Caenorhabditis elegans: one gene and its partner. The protein of the gene in region 1 purifies or fractionates together with the protein of each later gene. This does not show direct contact. Each region holds a gene or a part of one and is shown in the gene's direction. Other genes may lie near its edges.

Region 1 (4,275 bases):
ATTTCAAATAATCCAATTGATTGTGATTGTGCAACTATTCGATTGCTTAGCGGGGATGATGTCGTATTTCTAAATCAGGTATTTTCCATTTTTGTTTCCGAAATTCCAATATTATATGCTAAAAAAAACAATTTTCAGGCTGATACAAAATGTGCATCTCCACCAGAATTGGAAGGCAAACGCATTTTTGAACTATCGAGAGACTATTGCAAAACTACAAGGAATCCACGTGGGAAAGCATCATTCTTCCAGTTTCTCGTTCTTTTTGTGATTGCTGTTGGAAGCGAGTTTTTATTTTAAAGGAATTTTAAGATGTCTTAAAATTTCAAAATACAAAAAACCAAATTGTGTACCTAAACAATCCAAACCTACAAACCTACAAAATCCTTTAAATTTCTCTAAGAATTCTGATTTTTCGAAAATTTGGAAATTTGCCAAAAAAGCTTTTCGGAGGAAGTGCTGAAGTTTCCTTCCGGAAATTGTACAAAATGGTTTTTTTTGTTAAAATTTGGTGATAGAACATAGAAAAATTATTTTATCTGAAAATAGCTTTTATTGGAAGAGTTGAAAAAAATGCTAAATTGCCTGAAAGTAGGAAAATGAAAGAAAATATGTCGATATTTTGTCGAATTTATCTCGGCGATTGACAACCTTCAGACAATTTTGAGAACTTTTACAAATGCTCCAACTAAAATAAAAGTTATTTTTTGATAAAACAAATATTACTGTTAAATCATGAATTTTCAGTTCTATGGCTCTACAAGAAGTACCGTGAACGCACAAGACATATGAGTTCAGTTCCAGTTGGATACACGAACTTACAGCATGAACAAGCTGTTGAACCGGAATTTGTGTAGGGAATTCCAAAACAAATTCATTTATCTTTTTATTTTTGGTTTTTTTTTAATTTTCAGCCAGCCATAATTCTTTCAAATATTTCTGATAATATTTGAAATTTCATAATTTTAAAATCTGTTCATTTTATACGGGATACTTGCTTCTTTTTTTGTGAATAAAATGATCTTCTTCTAGATATTCTTGTTGACTCATAGATGAGTCATGTGTATAGAGGGATCTGATTGAAAGCCAATCGCCGGCATTACCAATTTCCAAATGGGCAAAGTAGTACACACTTGGCATTTGGCGACGAATTCTTGCCCAAGTTTGGGCATTGGGGGAAATCTTGGGCAAGGAGATTTTTGGCCACGCCAACATTTAGCCCTAGGTTTATCGAACTCTTGCTATACCAATTGGTCTAGTTTCGTACTGAGAACTGTTCCAAAACTGTTATTATTCTAGATATGGTATAACTTTGTGTAATAAACGCCTAATTGGTAAAGTGAGATGCACATTTTGGTATCGTTTCAGAGGACTAACAATTCGAATTCTTGATCGGTTTTTTAATTTTTAGATTCCACGGTGAACATTTCCTGGAGATCACCGGAGAGAATAAAAAAAATAAAAAAGGGACAGCTGTTTTTTCAACGATTATTATTACTGTGAATTGAAGATTTTGAAATTCGAGAGCAAAATTGCAGATAACATATGTAATTTCAACTTTATCAAGGTATTAAAATTCGAAGTTCAGTTGAAATGTACATGAGACTTCTATATTCAAATAGAAAAAAATTTTTTTTTTCCAGAAACTCAATTCAGAAAGTCAAAAACTGCAGGTGTCAATGATATATGGTGATTCGAATGCCAAATGTCACATTGAAAAATCTAATTGAACTTTGAGGTGTTGCATTTATATGAGTTCATGAGTAATTTTAACGAGTGTTGCCTGGATTTGTTGCTAGACTATTCACCTATAAGTTTCTGAAAAGAAAATTGAATTTCATGCAGAACTGAGCAAATTATATGCGATTTAGTCAAGGCCCCCCAATTTTGGCATCATTTGCCATTCGGAGGTGAACAAGGGGCGGGATATGTGTCCCGACAGGGTGGTAGAGGATGAGTATAAAAGGGTGGCGCTCGCGCATCATTCACTATCACTTTTCAAGTGTTTGTTCATCGTTTAACAATGTCCGACGTCGCCGTTGCCGAGACTCCAGCAGTCAAGACCCCAACCAAAGCTTCAAAAGCCACGAAGGCCAAGGCTACCAAGATTCCGAAGGTGAAGGTCGTTGCCGCCCATCCGCCATTCATCAACATGATCACCGAAGCCGTCAGCAACCTCAAGGACCGCAAGGGATCATCCAGGGTCGCCATTTTCAAGTTCATCACTGCCAAATACACGCTTGGAGATCAAGTTAACAAGGTAAATATGCATTTTATTTTAAAGAGAGTGGTTTTGAATCGATTTTTCCAAAAAATATATAAACCTGATTTTTGAACAATTCTTCCAAAACGTTGACAATATTAATAGATTTTCCCCTGAAAATTAAACCAACCTTCACTAAATGCATCTTAATTCCAGACCAACGCTCACCTTCGCTCTGCACTTAAAAAAGGAGTCGTCAGCAAGGTCCTCGTCCAGACTAACGGAATCGGAGCCAACGGACGATTCCGTCTTGCCGTTGCCGAGAAGCCACCAGCAGTGAAGAAGGCTGCCACTGGAGAGCAAAAGGTTATGAAGACCGTCGCCAAGAAGGCTGTCAGCGGAGACAAGGCTAAGAAAACTGTCGCCAAAAAGACCGGAGACAAGGTGAAGAAGGTCAAGTCACCGAAGAGGATCGCTAAGCCAGCTGTCAAGAAGGTCACTAAGAAAGCCGCCGCTCCAACGAAGTCTGCTGCCAATGAAACCGCTCCAAAGAAGGCTGCTGCCACTGAAGCCGCTCCAAAGAAGGCTGCTGTCACGAAAGCTGCTACAAAGAAGACTCCTGCCAGGAAGGCCGTTGGTACTGCCCCAAAAGCCTAATAACACTGTGTGAAATTCAAATTTAATTCGATCTCACCATTGTAATATACCTCCTCCTTGAAGGTGTCCCGGGTACCGGTTTTTTCTTCCCATTTAATCATAATTTGTTCCATTTTAACAAATATACCTTCCAATAAACCATTAATAGATTCTATTGTTCTCTTTTTTTTTTCAGAAAATAGATTTCCAAGACAGTGCTCTCAGCGAGAATAAATTGAAATCTTCATTTAGCAACATTTTGTATTTCGTCACTTTTAGTGAACATTAAAAAGTTAACATCTGTATTTAGTGATCAAAAGGTGCTATTAATTAATTATAATTTGGGATCACCATATGCAGTAACGGATTATTTGCAATTTTCTCAAGTTGCTTCACGAATATCTCTTTCTCACTTGACTGGTGTTTCGGTGGGATATATTTTGTGTGTGTGTGTGTGGAAGTGGTGTCTATGTACACGTTATCAACCACAACATTTGCTATTTTCACTCGTTGTCATACTGGCGGTCTTTCTCTCTCAATAATATCTTTTCGAAACTTTCTTCGTGTGATATCTGACCGACAGGAGGAGCACGCCTGCTCAATTCACCAACTTATTTAATGGGAAAGGACTCTTTCACACAAATAAAATGACATGGAGATGGGATGTAGAACAATTGAAGAAACCGATTAATGGTTCATTACATCGGTCATGTCAAAGCAAGTTTGTGCCTGATTCAACAGTGAATTTCAAATGAGCTCTCGAAGACTCTTGAACTGTGATCTTCCTACAGTGAAAATGACGCGGTCAGTTTTGCCAAATTTTAATTAACTTTCATTTCTTTATAGCCAAGGGGAAGCATTTGGTAATTGGTAGTTTTGAAAAACTCGGATAATTATACATATGGAAATGGAAACATTAATTGGCAAGACTGGCATGGTGTACGGTAGGTTCAGAAAGAGTTCTGGAGGAGAGGTGAATATAAGAGAAGTACCCTTTTTTAGTTAACAAAAACACCATTTTTTCAGTGGTGGCTGGATGAAGAGACCAGTATTACCAAAAGCCTGGACTTGAGTACAGCTTTTATGGAACTGTTGTGGTTTATAGGTTCAACTAAAAAACTTCACATTTCAATTTTAAATGGTAGTACAGTAGTCGTATCTGTTACAGGTGGGTATGACTCATGATTCTCAACAATTTTTATTTGAAAAAACCGCTAAAATCTGATATTTTTACCAACTTGTTCTTGTCGCAGGGGTCGATAAGTATCGAGTATTTGGTAAATTTGGTTGTCTACTGATGAAAATAATTATTTGCTTTACAATTTTTTCAGTGTCTTATGACCTTTTAGGAGTATTTTGTGGAAGGTTCAAAAATTCTCTCTCTCTCTCTCTCTCTCTCTCTCTCTCTCTCTCTCTCTCTCTCTCTCTCTCTCTCT
Region 2 (5,456 bases), on another chromosome or scaffold:
TATTTAATTTACTTGTTTTTCTTCCTAAATAATTCATTTCTGAACAATGCCGTCAGTTGTGATAGCTGGTGGAGGTCTTGTTGGATCTGCGAATGCGTGTTTTTTTGGACAGAAGGGATGGATTGTGGATGTCTACGAGTCGCGTTTTGATCCACGTGGAAACCATATGGAAAATGGAAAAAGTATTAATTTGGCATTAGGCGTTCGTGCAATGAGTACAATGAAGAGAATTGGTCTGAAGGAAAAAGTTATTCATATTGGTGTGCCAATTCGAGATCAAATTGCTCATTTTGGGGACACAAAAGGAAAACTGAAGAGACTACCTGTTCTCAATGATGACGATGTAAGTAGAAGTTCAAGAGTACACATCATTGCTTAACTTATATTTATGAATTTTCGTCGTTTTTATTTTGTAATATCTGAAAATTAACCGAAATATGAGGTGTCAAAATGTAATGCACAGTGTCAATGAGCTAATAGAGAATTTTTTATCGAAAACAATTAATTTAAACTATTTTAGTTCATTCTCACAATAAATCGTCAAGAACTGAGCCAAATATTGATCAACGAAGCGGAAAAATATAATAATGTTAAGTGAGTTCAACATCACAATTAATTAAGCAAACAGATTTTACAATTACAGATTTCATTTCAATTGTAAAGCAACCAAATTTGACTTGAAAAGTGAATCTCTGATTGTACAGAATTCGGATAATTTGAGTACTGTAGATGGTGATCTGTTTCTGGCTTGTGATGGAGCACACTCTTCAATTAGAAGAAGCCTTCTCAAGGCTCCAGGTTTCAATTTCAGTCAAAAGTATTCGGAATTCGGTTATATTGATCTGAGTGTAAATTCTACACAACAATGTGATCTAAAATTGGGAACACATTATTCCTGGAGAAGAAGAGGTATTATCCTTGTTGCCATTGTAAATAAAGATCAGTCATTGACTGGTAAGACTTATATTGGAATTATATCTATCTAAAGTCAAAATTTTCAGTTTCGATGTTCGCCACGTTCTCAGAGTTCGAGTCTAATTTGGTTGGTCCCGTAGAATCTGTTTTGTTTTTTAAGAACAATTTTTATGAAATCTTCAAGATTCTTGGAGAGTGAGTGGCTTCATTTTTCCTTGTTGTTTTCGAACGAATATTATTCTAGAGATCACATCAGAAACACAATTGCCAGAAACAAACCGCAGGCAATTATAAGTGTTCAATGCTCACAGCACGTCTTCTTCGACAAATTGGTATTGATGGGCGATGCAGCACATGCAATGGTTCCATTCAATGGTCAAGGTGTCAATTGTGGATTTGAGGATTGCCTTGTGTTGCAGGAAATTATGGATCAATATGAGGAAGATGAATTGGAAGATGTTATCAAAGAGTATTCAAAAGTTAGAACAAATGAGACGAATATCATTAATCAAATGGAATGGGATGTCAATTTAACGGTTAGATTTCTACATTTTATATTTCTTCGGGTGCTCATCTTGTAAGTAAGATTCTTGATTCTATATTGATAAGTGTCAAAATTCTACGAAAACATAAATACACAGTTCTGAAACATAATACTTTTACTATAGCGAGATTTCATGTTACTTGATAATTTTTGTTACAGCTCACGAGTTCCGTCCATGGCAGCCTGGGATGGATTCGAGAAATACGTGCACACATAAAACTATTGTTATGCTTCATTTTCCCATCATCGTTCACATTGGCAGCCTTCTCTCGGGAGAAATACTCTGAAATTGCCAGAAAAGCACAGATCGTCGAGAAGTGCACATCCTTATTCACAAACGTTTTCATTGTTTTCATAATTTCTGTCATTAGCCTCTTTTGGTATTGTGTGTTGGCAGTTTTATGGGCGAATTGACACCAAGATATACTCTACAGTACTCGGATACTGTAGAGGAAATCTTCAAGCATACTGTCTGCAATGTGCCGTCGTTTCTGGTGTTTGCGTCCAAGAAGTCTCGTGATTTAAAAACAAGTACCGATATTTTAAAAACGATTTTCTTTGCTGAATAAATATATTTATAAATACTGTTTTTCAGACATTTATTGAATTAAAATCCGTTTTTTCCTTAAATTTATGAAATTCCCCAATACGAACTATGTATTCTCTCGTTGCTCACTATGAAACCCACTTGAATGTTCCACCTTGCCCACCGAAATCGATTTTTTTTTTAATTTTTTTTACATCAGTGCAAACATTAACAGCTGTCTAGTGCACACTCAGACCGGTCGGTTCTGCTGCTATGCAGTAATATCTGTTTGCTCACCGATCATCAGTTTTATTATTTTCAAAAAAGAAACAGCATTTAAAACGGGAATTTGTTTTTTTCAACGTATAGGCCAAACACTGAATAATTTGGTTTTGTTATAATTGCTCTTCTACGCTGTGAGTCATCAATCGATAACCGCTCCGCAACCGCAATTGCCGTTCGTACTCTGCCACGCGACTTTCCCATCTGCTCTTCTTCTCTCACTCTCTTTCCCCCTCACTCTCTCTCTCACATTTTCGTTCATTCTATTCACCATCTTGTTACACTCATATCGTCTTATATTTTTCATTGTCTGTTCTTTTCTTTCTAAAAACAGTTTATTTTCAGTTTTATCCGCATTCTTCATATCGTTCATCGAAATGGCTGAAAAAATCAACATGTCTCTGGATGAAATCATCAAGCATGGCCAGAAAAAAGTGAAGTCCGAGCGAGTATCTGCACCAGCAGGAGCATCTACTAGCAACAAAGCTGGAAACAAACCCGTGAGTTTTAAAATAAAATAAGCAACTTTTAAGAATAAATAATTTTTATAGACTCGCCCAGGAAATGCCGGAAGAAACAACCGCAGAGTCCCACCAAGAAAGAGTGCTCAAGTTGTTTTGGCGAACAAGGTTTTGAAGAAATCGAAAGCAATTGCTGCTCGTCGTGCAGCTGGAGGTCAAAAACGCGTTTTCGGTGCCCGTGGAAAACCTGCTGCGGCTGCAGGATTGAGCGCTGTTGCCACCAAGAAGCTGGTTAATAAGCTCGTCAAGGTAAATCTTGTTTATATAATTCATTCTAATAAACCATCACATTACAGAATGCCCTTCGCAAAAGAACCAATATCACGACTGTTCCAGTCGTTCGTAAGCGTGGAGTACGTTTTTACCAGATTTTGTTCTATAGTTGAATATCGAGCTTTGAAAAATGGATTCTTGAAGTGAAATCTGGATACCACACGCATTAAGCGTTGTAGTAAAAGGCTAAAAATCAGGTCGAGAGTTTGATTTATTCCTCTCGTGTCGCGATAGAACCTAGACGTTCTTCGTGTTTTTTGAAACCGCGATGAATAGTTGGAAATACGATCATCCACTATTGAAAACCTGATAGAAAGCCAGGCTTCTGCCAAAAAATCAGAACAGATGGTCTCAATTTGTGTGAAGTTCCTTCCGGAGAGACAGACAGCAACTTCTCCTCAGCTTCTTCAGCGTGTCGAGAGTTCTTCCAATCTTTCACGGAGGTAAGGTAAATGATTTCAGGGTGTTGCTGCTTCAACTCTTGCCGCCAGACGAAATTTTGCATTGAAACGAAATGTCACTGCTGCCCAAGTGATTCAACCTGTGAGAACAATCATCCAACAGAGACCAATAACGGCTCCTGTTCGTACTATCGTACAGCATGTTCGTCAAGCTCCAGTCAAAGTTGTTCGCCAAATCATCACTGCTCCTGTGCAATCTCAAGTGATTCGTAGAGCACCGCAACAACAAGTTCGTCAGAACCGTCCACAGCAGAGACGCAATGTGATTATTCAATCACAGCAATCGAGAAGATTCCGTCCAACAAACAACAACAATAATAATCGTCCAACAGTCATTCGTCGTCAAGTCGTTCAACAAGTTCCAAGACGCGCTCAAGTTCAAAGACCACAGGTAAAAATTCATTATTATTCAGTATCCAGTGTCAGAATTATATTGTTCGTTTTCAGTATGAGCAGGTCGTGCAAAGAGTAATCCAGACTCCAGTGGCTCAGCAACGTTTCCAACGCCAGCCACAACGCTTCCAGCAACAGCAACCTCGTTTCCAGCAACAACCCCCGCGCTTCCAGAGACAGCAGCAGCCACAACAACAGCAAGTTGTGAGAAGCGTCAGATATGTGAATGCAAGACCACCTGTTCAGAGAAACAATGTTGTTCGTCAAGTGAGTATTCAAACTTTTATTTGCTAGAATTGAATTAAAGATTATGATTGAGTTTTACAATACTAGCCACCAATTGGATTAATATTATGAAACATAAATCTTAGGAATCTGTGGTGACCAATATATTGGTTTTTCAGGTTCAGCCAGTTCAATATCGTCCAGTCCAATACGTCACTGATCAGGTTGTCAACTCTCGTGGTCGTGGATTCCGTGCCTTCTAATTTCATCAACTCGTACACAATCAAGGATACTCAGAAGCTGCGTAGTTGTCTACACACCTTGCTTCATTTTATAAATTTATAATTCCTTCTTCCATAAACACCATGTTTAATAAAATACTCCGCCATACTCATTCTATTCACATCCAACAATAAACATGTTGCGTGTCTATCGAAATTAGTTACTTCTCTTATGTCTACAATAAGTTCAGTTGGATTTATTTCAACATTTCAGATGACATCCCGTAACAGGGTGCGAACAAGTTCTAATAGGTAAGAGACTAAATATCACTTGACTTCTCGGAAATAATATTTTTCAGTCTGGATCCAAATGAAGATCCTGTGTCGGGGCTAGAACGAGTCATGTCAAACTCGAATCTAGAACACGTTGCTCGGCAAAGAAGACGACTAGTGCGGGCAAAAACCAGCAATTTTTTCTGAAAATCAAGTTATTTCAGGAGGAAGAGCTGTTATTCTCAAGGCAATTGGATGATGTTGGTCGAACGGATAGCCATGAAGCATTGTCTGCTAGATACGAAAGTCTGAACTATGAAATATCTGAGAATCGACTCTATAGAGATGCTGAAAAGAAACCATCTCACCAGGTTTTGAGATTTCATAGATACAGTAACAATGTCACTTTTCAGTTAACTCTTTGGCGAATTTCTCGAAATCGTTGGTTTGTATGCTTTTTGATTGGAGTTTTCACTGGACTCGTCGCTGCATTTATTGATATTATGGTACACTACAGTAAAGATATCAAATTTAACTGGATTCTCAAATATTGTCAGTTATACTTATCTAACTAATCTATTGAAAACGAAACATTCAGTGCTCTCAAAGTGTGGCGAAGAGCAACGTGGAACGACTGCAGGGTGTATGTGGACCGTAATGATAGCTTGGATAGGATATAATTGTGTTCTCGTAACTATAGCTGCAATCCTTGTGATTTATGTAGCTCCGATTGCTGGAGGTTCTGGAATTCCTCAAATAAAGTGTTATCTTAACGGAATTGCGATTCCTGAGGTGTCATTTCCAGCTCAAAAATTTCTGAAA

Evidence for each region. Proteins that work in one complex are often made in the same cells at the same time.
Region 2: the proteins of hil-5 (region 1) and pqn-53 fractionate together in Caenorhabditis elegans (co-fractionation; one large-scale study listed by BioGRID). This does not show direct contact.

What each region holds. Positions count from the first base shown.
Region 1 is NC_003279.8:5,772,598-5,776,872, forward strand, and holds hil-5 (Histone H1.5), read left to right. Parts: upstream 1-1,987; 5' UTR 1,988-2,023; coding exon 2,024-2,260; intron 2,261-2,419; coding exon 2,420-2,860; 3' UTR 2,861-3,013; downstream 3,014-4,275. Other genes in the region: lron-8 (LRRCT domain-containing protein), read left to right, coding at 1-78, 139-283, 748-857. UniProt on the Caenorhabditis elegans protein: Histones H1 are necessary for the condensation of nucleosome chains into higher-order structures.
Region 2 is NC_003283.11:12,062,548-12,068,003, reverse strand, and holds pqn-53 (Prion-like-(Q/N-rich)-domain-bearing protein), read left to right. Parts: upstream 1-2,612; 5' UTR 2,613-2,644; coding exon 2,645-2,767; intron 2,768-2,818; coding exon 2,819-3,037; intron 3,038-3,084; coding exon 3,085-3,141; exon of another isoform or gene 3,142-3,523; coding exon 3,524-3,913; intron 3,914-3,969; coding exon 3,970-4,182; intron 4,183-4,319; coding exon 4,320-4,403; 3' UTR 4,404-4,572; downstream 4,573-5,456. Other genes in the region: kmo-2 (FAD-binding domain-containing protein), read left to right, coding at 47-343, 521-594, 644-954, 1,002-1,110, 1,160-1,451, 1,619-1,873; clh-6 (Chloride channel protein), read left to right, coding at 4,636-4,673, 4,721-4,811, 4,859-5,005, 5,048-5,186, 5,233-5,426.